3 linked regions of the Danio rerio genome follow. The protein of the gene in region 1 interacts with the protein of each later gene in a pairwise test. Links are inferred from orthologs where the notes say so. Each region holds a gene or a part of one and is shown in the gene's direction. Other genes may lie near its edges.

The links.
Region 2: the proteins of efhc2 (region 1) and ncdn interact in binary tests that used the Homo sapiens proteins (3 or more experiments, as listed by UniProt). The two-hybrid records come from large-scale screens. The link is inferred for Danio rerio from reciprocal best matches to the Homo sapiens genes EFHC2 and NCDN.
Region 3: the proteins of efhc2 (region 1) and mapk9 interact in binary tests that used the Homo sapiens proteins (3 or more experiments, as listed by UniProt). The two-hybrid records come from large-scale screens. The link is inferred for Danio rerio from reciprocal best matches to the Homo sapiens genes EFHC2 and MAPK9.

The regions. Positions count from the first base shown.
Region 1 is NC_133184.1:35,465,914-35,469,569, reverse strand, and holds part of efhc2 (EF-hand domain-containing family member C2), read left to right. Parts: intron 1-388; coding exon 389-496; intron 497-589; exon of another isoform or gene 590-635; coding exon 636-774; intron 775-3,656. UniProt on the Homo sapiens protein: Microtubule inner protein (MIP) part of the dynein-decorated doublet microtubules (DMTs) in cilia axoneme, which is required for motile cilia beating.
Region 2 is NC_133194.1:50,429,258-50,433,565, forward strand, and holds the start of ncdn (neurochondrin), read left to right. Parts: upstream 1-1,479; 5' UTR 1,480-1,536; intron 1,537-3,406; 5' UTR 3,407-3,420; coding exon 3,421-3,585; intron 3,586-4,308. UniProt on the Homo sapiens protein: Probably involved in signal transduction in the nervous system, via increasing cell surface localization of GRM5/mGluR5 and positively regulating its signaling. Required for the spatial learning process.
Region 3 is NC_133196.1:35,054,993-35,059,430, reverse strand, and holds the start of mapk9 (mitogen-activated protein kinase 9), read left to right. Parts: upstream 1-1,609; 5' UTR 1,610-1,817; intron 1,818-4,438. UniProt on the Homo sapiens protein: Serine/threonine-protein kinase involved in various processes such as cell proliferation, differentiation, migration, transformation and programmed cell death.

The DNA.
Region 1 (3,656 bases):
TACAGTTGAATACAGTTTGTTCCACCTTTAGATGAGGCTAAGTGGTTATCAGTTCCTCTGTCCTCTTTTTCCCCCATCCTCTATGCCAAGCTTTTATCCAGACTGACAGGGCTGAAAGAACATCCAACTTCCCTAAAGCACTTTTCAGTTTCCTCCCTGCTTGTTTTTCAGTCTAAATTCATTATGAAGGAAGAATGATTTGTCCAGGTTTTTTTTTTTTCTATTGTAATGTTGCCTTGTCACACATTCTGTTGCCTTTCATTAAATGTCATCTGAAAAGGTTTACAGGAATCCCCCAATGAGAAAATAATTATCCCCAATAGCATATTTCTCTAGTCCATTAAGTTATAAAAAAATGCAGTCATTTTCTCCTGATTTCTCTAAACAGCATGCTCCTATTCCCAAACGTCAGCCTGGAGAAATTACAGACCGCACAGTCCTCAATGTATTTGGACCAGTCGGACAAGGAGGACGCTACATTTTGGACAGCCTCAAAGTAAGTTCTGATTAAAAAACAAACAAAAGTGCCCATAGTGAATGCCCTATAAACATAATTACTCAGTTTCCTTATAAATATGATTCAAATTAGTTTATTAGTCAATTGTTATGTAACTTTTTTCACTCACTGTTTACAGACTGGAGCATTGGAAGAAGAGTTCTATAAAGACTCTGATCTGACTATTGGAGCTGTCATTAATGTATGGGGTCGAAGGGTGTTAATATGTGACTGCGACTACTTCACTAAAGAGTATTATCGCTCTAAATATGGGATTGGTGAGTTACATCATGACTTCCGAAGGAATAGAATTTGTACTTTTATAGGTGATACTGGTGATGTTTCATAATTTGTGGTTAAATAGATTTGTCAAAACAATCACATTTTTATTCAAAGCAGTATATAAATAGGAATTTTTAAAAGTTTCTTTGTACAGTATTTTTATATATAGAAATATTTATTAATAACCACAATAAAGGAGCATATAAATAGATATTTTTCTTATTATCTCTTTATATAATTTATTTTGATATTATAAGAATTTAAATCTTACTTTATCTAGTCTTAGCTATTATTAGAATCTAATAATAACAAGAATAATATATTCAACCAACATTTGTGGTTTATTAGCTTTATTTTTATGAAATCATTTTAAATTAGAGTGAAAGCAATATATAAATATTTTTATAATATTTTTATATTTGTCATTAAATGCATATGATGGTGATTTTAATCTTTATCATAAACATCAGTGGTTTTATCTAAACTATAATCTGTACTGTTTGTAACTTCAGAACTCAAAAGAGTAAAGTCTCAAATCATTTTTTTTTTGCATTTTGAAGGATTAATAAACATATGTAAATCACCATCATTTATAATTTATGTTGAGTGGGTGTTGGAACCCCAAACTTTTAATGATTAATCGTGCAGCTTACACTGAATGCATTGATGCAGGCTAAACAAGTAGTAACAGCAAACACCTTTAATGAAACCCACCACATGCCGAATAGCCTACCACAACTTTTTCCATGATCATTATATTTTACAAGAAAGCCTACATGCTTTTATATATGTGATTTGAATGACACAAGAGGTCTCTGCGATCATTACATATTTAGGATTAATCTACCAGTAAAAAAAGTATTAATCAGCAGACCATGTGTGTTCCAAACGGTGGATTGTGATCCGTATGAATCATGAATCAACCGTGATCTGTTACACCCCTAAACTTTTGATTTTGATAGTATAAGAATAATTCTTTATTATTAATAATTATAACTAAATAATTGTCCTATATCAGGTTGCAGTAATATTAATAATAGTAATAATAACAACCTTAATATTTTCATAACTCTATATAGAACAAATAGTTTGGAGAATGTATTTTTATTTTCATTATATATATTATGCATAATATACATGTGCTTTTCAGTGGCTCAGTGGTTAGCACTGTTGCCTCACAACAAGAAGGTTGCTGGTTCGAGTGCCAGCTGGCCCAGTTGGCATTTCTGTGTGGAGTTTGCATGTTCTCCCTAAGTTTGCGTGGGTGTCCTTTGCATTCTCCCCTTTTCCCCACAGTCCAATGATATGTGGTATAGGTGAATTGAATAAACTGTAATTGTGTGAATGTGAGAGTGTATGGTTGCTTTCCAGTGTTGGACTGTGGCTGGACAGGCATCCGCTACATAAAACATATGCTGGAAAAGTTAGCGGTTCATTCTGCTGTGGTGACCCCTGATAAATAAGGGACTAAGCTATGGAAAATGAATGATGATTTTCAAAGGGAGGAGTTTGGCAGCGCTGTTACTGACCACATGATGTCAGCATTGAGTTTCATCTGTGACTCTGGCTCTGAACTTGGCTCTTGAACTGGCATTTATTTTGTTAGCTCCAAACAAACTCTCCACAGCTTGTGCATCTTGTGCTCTACTGCTTAATCTAATGAAGTGCAAAGCAAATCTACATACCCCGACCCCTCATTCTCTACACGCATCTCATCTGTGTGGTCTTACAAGCTGTTCGTTATTTTCAAAGTCTTCCTGCCATAAATCTCACATCTCTATGAGAGACTACTGCTCCCCAGTGTGCTTTCATCCCGTTGAAAAACTGTCGGAATAACACGCACTGAATGAAAGGAGCAGAACTGATTGACACCTCAAGGTGACTCAGTTTTTGGACAGCAGATATGAGCAATGGCTAGCCAGGCCTCTTTATCTTCAAAAGCCCGGACATCAGAAGCACACAAGCTCCGTGTCAACGGTAACACAATACGGGTGCGCGTGCATCTGTCTGCCGTGGCGTTATGCCGACTCAAGAGATCATAGCATTAGTTACACATGAGCCTAATGGAGCCGGGTTGACACCGGCTCTGATGAAGCACTTGTTCACTTCTCAAGGGTCAAGAGGCAATAGACCAAATTCATATGGCTAAACGTAACTCTGTCTGGCTTCTCTTTCGGTTTTCAGTCTAATTAGGGCACTGTTTACATCTAGGGCCCTACCATATACCTGGTGCAGTGCAGTGCCAGATGTGAGAGAAGTGTTTTTTGCTTGTTTCAGCTTGGCACAGGTATGCATTTGCACCAATTTGTGTGCTGCTTTGAAAAGGAGCTGTGTTAGGGAGCATTGCTGCCCCCTTGCTGTTCTGAGGCAACTGAAACTGTGGCATTGACTAACTAAAAGCTAGTCTAATGTCAATGATACAGTTTTTTGTTGTTGTTGTTGTCATATAAAGTGCATGTTGGTGATAGGTGGGGCCAAATTGTAAGTCCACTTTGCTTATTATCCACACAGGTATGCACAGCAGCACACAAATATCTTTAATATGCAAGATTAAAGGATTAAAATATAAAACATTATTATTTTCTACATAAATATAAAATTAGCTACCTCTTTCCAAACCTTCACCTCAGAGGGCTTAGGTGGAATTCAGCTCATTACATAGATGGCCGCCCAGTTTAACATTGTGCAGGAGAAGATACATTTCCTCACTAGTGAAGCATTCCGTTTTCACCATTGCACCTAGTTAATAGCAAATGTGCCAAAAAATTTCCAAATTTGTCAAATGACTATAAAATAAATTTAAAACCCTGTACTCTAATCTACCCTAAATGTTGTTGTGGGACAATGTGAGAGACAATGGTAGCATGTCCTTAACTAT
Region 2 (4,308 bases), on another chromosome or scaffold:
TGACTCCATCATGAGCTTGGAGGACTGCATCCATACATCTCTGACATGACTCAAATCACTGATTAATAAAGTCATCTGGAATGAAGAAGAAAGCATTCAGCAGGATCCCAGAGTTCATCAAGATTCATCTTCAATGCCTCCATCATACCCCAGACATGCTCAATAATGTTGATGTCTGGTGACTGGGCTGGCCAATCCTGGAGCAGCTTGACCTTCTCTGCTTTCAGGATCTTTGATGTGGAGGCTGAAGTATGAGCAGGAGCGCTATCCTGCTGGAGAATTGTCCCTCTCCTGTGGTTTGTAATGTAATGGGCAGCACAGATGTCTTGATACCTCAGGCTGTTGATGTTGATCATCCACTCTGCAGATCTCTCGCACACCCCCATACTGAATGAACCCTAAACCATATTTATAGATTTAATAGAACAATGACTATTAAAGTACAACACTGTTTGCAGTCAAATAGTGCTAATGTTGTTTTGAAGTCACTCTTGATTGATTCCAAGCCGAATATTTAAAGTACCAGGGTAAACAATATAGAGAGCCCGTCACAAGCTGTCACCGAATGAATGTGCGAATATAAAACCAACCGTACCTCAATGGAAGTCAATAGGTAATTAGCGGTTTTCAACATTTTTCTAAATATCTATTTTAGAGTTTAACAGAAGAACAACTTGATAATGGTTTGAAACAAGTAAATGATGGCAGAATTTCCATTTGTGGGTGAATTTACGTTATCACTTCATGAATGAACAAAACTGAACCGTGTTTATAAAAGAACAACGAGCGAACGGATGAGGAATGAATATAAAGGCGAAAAAACTCACTGCGCTTCTCTGTGCTGCTCCTTAATTAGTTTAATTCCGGCGGATAAGAGTAATAATCTCCTTTTATTTGAACGATTTCTCCGCTTGCTTCCATTCAGTTTCAAACGGAGCGTCAGCCATCACTCGTGTTATCATTTCCGGTTTCATGGATCACATAAAGGTACCTCTACTAATTTATTGTTTCATGTTTTTTTGGTAATATTATTTAACATTTTTATTGAACATATTGTATATTACAACAGCTTTTAAAAAGTACAATAAAAACAGGTGCAAAAAAGAAACAAATTACATACATAATAACATTACATAAAAATAATGAATATTTCAAAACATGAGTTTCTACTAAAAGTGTTCACGTTCCATGTTATTTATAACTTTGCTTATATAGAAAAACGATAGTCGGAATAATAAAGCAGTAGTAAATAAATCATTGTTTTAAAGGTATACATCATTTCACGTTAATAATTGGTATTCATGTATATATTTCCCCTAGACTACAATTTTCGGTAATCAACAATTCTCAGCTCCACATGGTTGATGACCATACAATACAAAAAAAAACTTTGACATTATGCCAGAGACTGTAAAAAAATATGCTTTCGATTACCCAAAGACCTTTATTTTGAAATCGTGTCCTCTCATTTTGTTTCGCGAGATGTTTCATCCGCGTATCTTCAGCGTGTGTGTTCGAGAATCCTGCCTGCTTCAGGTTTGTTGACTACTGTAATAAAATGGTGTATATTTATTACTTTTTTAAATTTTATCTACACTTTTTTTAGATGATTTATGCCATGTATATGTGTGTTAAAATATGACTTAGCTTGTTGTTACTTAGTCAGTTAATTTAACTTACTCTGTCTTAATAATACAGTAATGAAATATAAAATAACAGTAAACGATCTGTAAATTAACCATATATAAACTTTTAATCTTGATAACGTTTTAAAAACGTCTTTCTGATTTTGTTTGTGATGTAATAGTGTGCGCTTTGGGGTGATTAGTTAAGTTATTGTGAAACGAGCTGTACAGATAAGCTTGAACGTTTCCTCGGTATTAAAGGGTCAGTTCACCTAAAACTGAAAATTCTGTCATCATTTACTCACCCTTTACAAACCTTTATGAGTTGTTTTCTTCTGTTAGAAGATATTTGGAAGAAATGTGGAAACTGGTAACCATTAACCTCAATAGTATTTGTTTTCCTACTACAGTCAATGGTTACAGGCTTTCAGCATTCTTCAAAATATCTTCTTTAGTGTTCAACAGAAGAAAACAGCTCATAATGGTTTATAACCACTTGAGGTTGAGTAAAAAGGGAGTAAACTTACATTTTTTGGCTGAACTATCCTTATAAAGCAGCTGTATAAGTGTTTATAGAGGTAAAGTTGGTTATCGTTTTTGAACACTGACAATTAGTGTTATCGTGCCTATATTGTTCACCACACTACTTTGAATATTCAGATTGAAATTGCTTGTAAACATGACTTCAAAACATCATTAGCACTATTTAATTGACTGTGAACAACATTGTACTTTGATAGTCGTTTGCATAAGTACTTTTCTGATTTTATATTATTGAGGAGAACGTCTGAATGTGTGAATATAAAAACTTTACCTCAATTAAGTGTTTTAGCCATCAGTTCTTCTCATGCACATGTATTTAGTCCAGCAGTTAATAACAGTGTATCTGATGTGTTTCAAAAAAATCTAAATTTTACAGATTTTTAAAAAAATGTAAAATTATGCATATGAATAGTAAATATATTATGCATTTTTAAAAATTAATTGTAGTATTTTCTTTAAATAATATCCAAATGTTTATATGATTTATTTATAATAAAGTTTGTAAAGTCCTATTTTTTATAATTTTGCAGATATATATTATATGAGAGACTAAATAAAACAATGTAAGAGGAAAAAATAAATAAATAAATAAATAATATATATAATAAATAAATAAAAATAAACTAAATTTAATATATATATATATATATATATATATATATATATATATATATATATATATATATATATATATGTATATATATATATATATATATATATATATATGTATATGTATATATATATGTATATGTATATGTATATATATATGTATATATATATATATATATATATATATATATGTATATGTATATATATATGTATATGTATATATATATGTATATGTATATATATATATATATATGTATGTATATATATATATATATATATATATATATATATATATATATATATATATATATATATATATATATATATGTGTGTGTGTGTGTGTGTGTGTGTGTGTAAATATATATATATATATATATATATATATATATATATATATATTAAATTTAGTTTATTTTTATTTGTTTATTTTATTTTGCATGATTTTTTGTGCATTATTTTTCTATTTCTAAAGATGTTCGTTGACTAAAATAATATTTAAGTAAATAAATCTGTGTAATATGTCCTCATGCACATATATTTGATCCAACAGTTTATGTGATGTGTGTTTATATGTGCATATATTAGGTTCTGCAGTTAATAGCAGCATATCTGATGTGTGTTTTATATAGGATTGAATGTGAAGATGGCAGAGATAGGCTGTCCTGGCTCCAGCACTGAAGGGCCCGGCTCTGGCTCTGCTGACAGCCCGGGGGCCCTGAGCCCGTCTCAGAGAGAGCTGCTGGAGCGATGCCTTCATGCCCTCAATCATGCCAAGAACGACAGCCACACACTGGCAGCGCTGCTCCTGGTACAAACACACCTACACTCAGGGTGCCAATATATAGTTTTCAGTCATGTGACGTGTGTGTAGACCTGCCAGGTAAAAAAATAAATAAATAACACTGAGCCATAATGACGGCTACACTGAGCTCTTTATAGAAACGCAGCACTATCCACCCATATTTCCATATTTCAATCAAATATCAACAGAATAAAACAAAGAAATGATCACAAACTGTACATTGTGGGCACCTGCCATCCATATACTTCAGTGTTTTAGTCACTTAAAATCCTCAGAAATAACATGTCAAAAATAAGTGAGTTTTTTCTTAAAACAAACTAAATAATCAGGGTAATTGGCTAAATAATATACAGTTGAAGTCAGAATTATTAGCCCCCCTGAATTATTAGCGCCCCTGTTTATTTTTTCCCCATTTTCTGTTTAATGGAGGGAAGATTGTTTCAGCACATTTCTAATCATAATAGTTTTAATAACTCATTTCTAAAAACTTATTTATTTTATCTTTATCATGATTACAGTAAATAATATTTTACTAGATGTTTTTCAAGACACTTCTGTACAGCTTAAAGTGACATTTAAAGGCTTCACTAGGGTAATAAGGTGAACTAGTCAGGTTAGGGTAATTAGGCAAGTTATTGTATAACAATGGTTTGTTCTGTAGATTGTCGGAAAAAAAATTGGCTTAAAGGGGCTAATAATATTGTCCCAAAAATGGGTTTTAAAAAATTA
Region 3 (4,438 bases), on another chromosome or scaffold:
CAGTGGGATTGAGTCAGAACTGCTCCTCTGATGAGATAATTAGGGTGTGAGATGAATGAATGGACCCTCCACCTATTGCCTCATTTATGAAGCTTTAACGCTTCCATGATCAAATATTCAGATCAGTGGGTTCACCTGACTCAATATCAACCTCAGAGAGTGCTATCACAAATTAATTTACTCAGATAATCCCATGACTTGGCGAGGCAGTGGCGCAGTAGGTAGTGCTGTCGCCTCACAGCAAGAAGGTCGCTGGTTTGAACCTCGGCTCAGTTGGAGTTTCTGTGTGGAGTTTGCATGTTCTCCCTGCCTTCGCGTGGGTTTGCTCCGGTTTCCCCCAACAGTCCAAAGACATGTGGTACAGGTGAATTGGGTAGGCTAAATTGTCTGTAGTGTATGAGTGTGTGTGAGGATGTTTCCCAGAGATGGGTTGTGGCTGGAAGGGCATCCGCTGCGTAAAAACCTTCTGGATAAGTTAGTGGTTCATTCCCTGGATTAATAAAGGGACTAAGCCAACAAGAAAACGAATGAATGAATGAATGAATCCCATGACATCTTTGATGCAAATTGCACTGTGGTGCATGAAAGAAAGGCTGATTTACCATCTGATATTTGTGTGTGTGTGTGTGTGTGTATGTGTTTGTGTGTATATATATATATATGGTGCATGTTTTTCTTTTGAAATATTTCCCAAGAGATGCTTGACAGAGGAAGGTAGGCTAAATCCGTAGTGTATAAGTGTAAGAGGGTGACAAAAAAAGTCGTTATCATATGGACAAGTTTAAATGGAGGACTTGTTCTAAAGGGCCGACCGAATAATAAAACGAAATAAAACTTAGTAAGAAGACAATAATTTGTTTTGAGACATCAGATAGAATCTAATTTCCTTATTTTTATATCAAAATAATAATAATAAAAAAAAAGGTTTTGTGTTTTTGAGGCAGGTTGGTTTGATATCTTAAGATTAGTTTGCTGACATGATTTTAGTTGCATTGTGCTAATTGGTATTCATGGAGTGCACCAGGCAAGGTACAACAAAATGAACAACAGAAAGTATCCCCACACACTCACCCTATTAAGCTATCCTTCCTCTTTTACCAATGAACAGACCCCTAAGCTTGAATTATTTTTGTTATACAAAAAAAAAAAAAAAAAAAAAAAAAATATATATATATATATATATATATATATATATATATATATATATATATATATATATATATTTATATATATATATATATTTATATATATTGGGTAGGGCGTGTTTTCAGTGTCAAACAATTATTAGCGAATATGATGAAGAAATTTGTTTGGATTTACCGTCTATGGGATTTACATTTTAACAAACTATTTTGTTTAACAGAAAAACTATGACAGCGCGGAGGCCTTATATTTGTGAAGCCTGGCCTAGTTAAAAACGATGTTTATAGACAACAAGTCTCTCGTCTATTAGCCACAACCTCAATTTGACAGTGAGCTTCAATCCTTCCTGCAACTTTTCAATCTGCATCAAAAGTTACAACTCGACCTGACGAGTGCGCCATTACGTCATCCTACCCAGTGCGCGAGAGCGAGCGAGAGAAAGAGAGAGAGACGTCGAAAAAATACTGTCCCACCAACCTCCGCCCAACGGTCAGTCATGCCACACTCTGGATTTTACTGTCAAGCCTCCTAAAAGAGAGCTGAACTTGACCTGTCCGTCGTGTTGAACGTGGAAGCGATAAACGCCGACACTTCCGCGGTTCAGAGGCTCTGTTTGCTGGCGAGTGTGTGTATGTATGGGAGTGAACTGGAGAACGCGAGGAGAAGAAGAGAAGGTAAGCACGCAGCGAGCTAGCGAAAATGTATACACCTCAAACAGTCGTGTGTTTCTTTTAGCCACTACAAAGACATGCTGTCGTGTTTTTACGGAGGAGCGAGCAGAGAGCGCGTGTTTGTGTGCTCGTGTTGTCGTGGAGTGCCAGTTTGCCGGGAGTTTGACACACATACACACACACACATACACATCTGCAGCAGTTCTGGCCTCAAGATGGATCAGGCCGACACAAGAGTCACTCACAGCCACGCAGAAGAGCTTACCATGAGTGTTTGGGATGTAAAGTCTATTAGTTTAATGCGATTTATTGTTTAACTGGTGTATGTTATGCAGGGACGTAGCTAGCTGCGACTTAGCTTTGCTGTGATGGAGCGACTGCAGCCTGGCAGCAGAATGACATGACTTAAAAACGTGGTAAATCTACTCTTGACATGCTGTGGATTTATATTTAGTGTTCGTGGATTGGCTTAATATATCAGTGTATATTCTGTAAGGGGGCAACTTGTATCTGAATGAGGTCAATGACACTGCTGTGATGCATGAACTGAAGGATGTGTTGACATTCTGCAGGTCAAGAGATGCACTGTAATTCAACTACGATTCATATCTTTAGGCCATTTAGTTGCTTATTCACCTAACATTGAAAGTTGAAGTACATCTAAAACAATCACCTGTAATAAGTTAGCTTTTCATTAAGAAAGATTTGTATGATTTCCTGTTATTTACATTTTCAGTCCAATATTACATTATTGGTTCATCATTGGATAAATTATTTGCCCTCCTGTTTATTTTTTCCGCATTTTTTGTTTAGCGGAGAATATTTTTTCAACACAATTCTAAACATAATAGTTTTAATTACTCATTTCTAATGACTGGTTTATTTTATCTTTGCCATGATGACAGTAAATAATATTTGACTAGATTTTTTTTCAAGTCACTTCTATACAGCTTAAAGTAAAACAAATAAGACTTTTTCCAGAAGAAAAAAAAAATCAGACATACTGTGATCATTTCCTTGCTCTGTTAAACATCATTTGGGAAATATTTACCAAAGAAAAAAAAATTAAAGTGGGCTAATAATACTGACTTGAACTGTATGTGTGTCAGCAGCACTCAGCAGGTATTTTTGTATGTGTTTGTTTTGTGAGAAAGTTAATAGCAGGATGCCCTTAAGCAGCTATTTCTTGTACATTTATATTCATTTTTCAGGATGATACTAGAAAGTTCTGAGGAAATCGCATTGCACTTTGGGCACTCAAAGTTTCATTGGATTCTGCAGCGATTATCATATGACATTATGCTCTACTTCATCTTTAAACAAAAAAAAAAATAAAAGTCATAAAAAAATAGCTCAGGGAAAAATAATTAATCTAATTAAAAATTAGTTTTGCCACCATTTAAAGGGCACCTATGATGAAAATCAGCTTCTGTAAGCTGTTTGGACAGAACTATCTGTTTGTGTGTCCACTGTCATGTTGGAGTAATAGAAACCCAACAAGTCTCATTTTTAAAATTTCCTGATGTTAAAATAGGACCCAGATCCCAGTGATTTTGAGGCTCAACGTGACATAGGAGTGCGGTTTCCATGTGCACCGAATTAATTGACAGCATACGTTTCTATAATACATGTATAGACATGTCCACAGAACATTTGTTTGCAAATAAACTGGGATAAAATATTTGTTCCAACTCTTTAATTTTTGTATTAAGTTTAAAAGTTTTTAATACAGAGCATGTTTGTAATAAAGACAGTAAAATTGATATGTAGTTCTTAACCGCTATAATCACTGCGGCCACGTGGTGTTAGTAAACACACACATATATATGTATGTGTGTGTACTGCTTCTATGAGTGACTTGCAGCGACAAGTGACAACAGACATCCTAAGTTTCCAGGAAATTTCGGGAGTCACCCCCAAATGCATAAAGACTCCTGGATGCCTGCAAACGAATGATAATCTCCCGGAAATCGTTTTTCTTTTGCCCGGTCCTCAAGTTCTTTGCACAGTTCAGATTTGCACAGTTGCACAGTTCACACTCTTCAGATACGTTGCGCACCCCTGCCCCGCTCTTCAGATATGTCGCCCTCCACCCCTCAATCTCCCTTAAATCATCCCTGTCTTCACTGGAAATCACTTTTCCTTACTTGGGATGTCTGCGACAAGCGACCATTCATTTCAATAAAGAGCAAGCGACCTCCATCTACATGAGCAACAGCGACCGTTGGTGACAAAGTGGGTGTGTCAAGCTCAACTTTATGCAAATGAAGAGTGACTTGCTTGAGTGACAGCCAATAGGAGCACCAGAGAAGCTCACGTGATCCTCTCTCAGCTTCGGCAGAAGCATGTTGTATTCTCCATGCTGTAGACCTACACAGACCTGCGTTTGCCTGAAGATAAATAGCCGCAATGACAGAGAACACATTTTTTCTTGATCATCTTTGTAGTTAAGCGTTTTATGTACTGATTCCGTTTATATTTTGTGTATTTTCTGAACAACGTTTACTTTCAGTGGCACGCAAACTCATTTGCTCTCTGTGAATATTACCACAAACGTTATAAGCAATCTCAAGGTGGGAACACCCACAATTGTTTTAATCGCCACCCAGAGCAACATGCAGCTA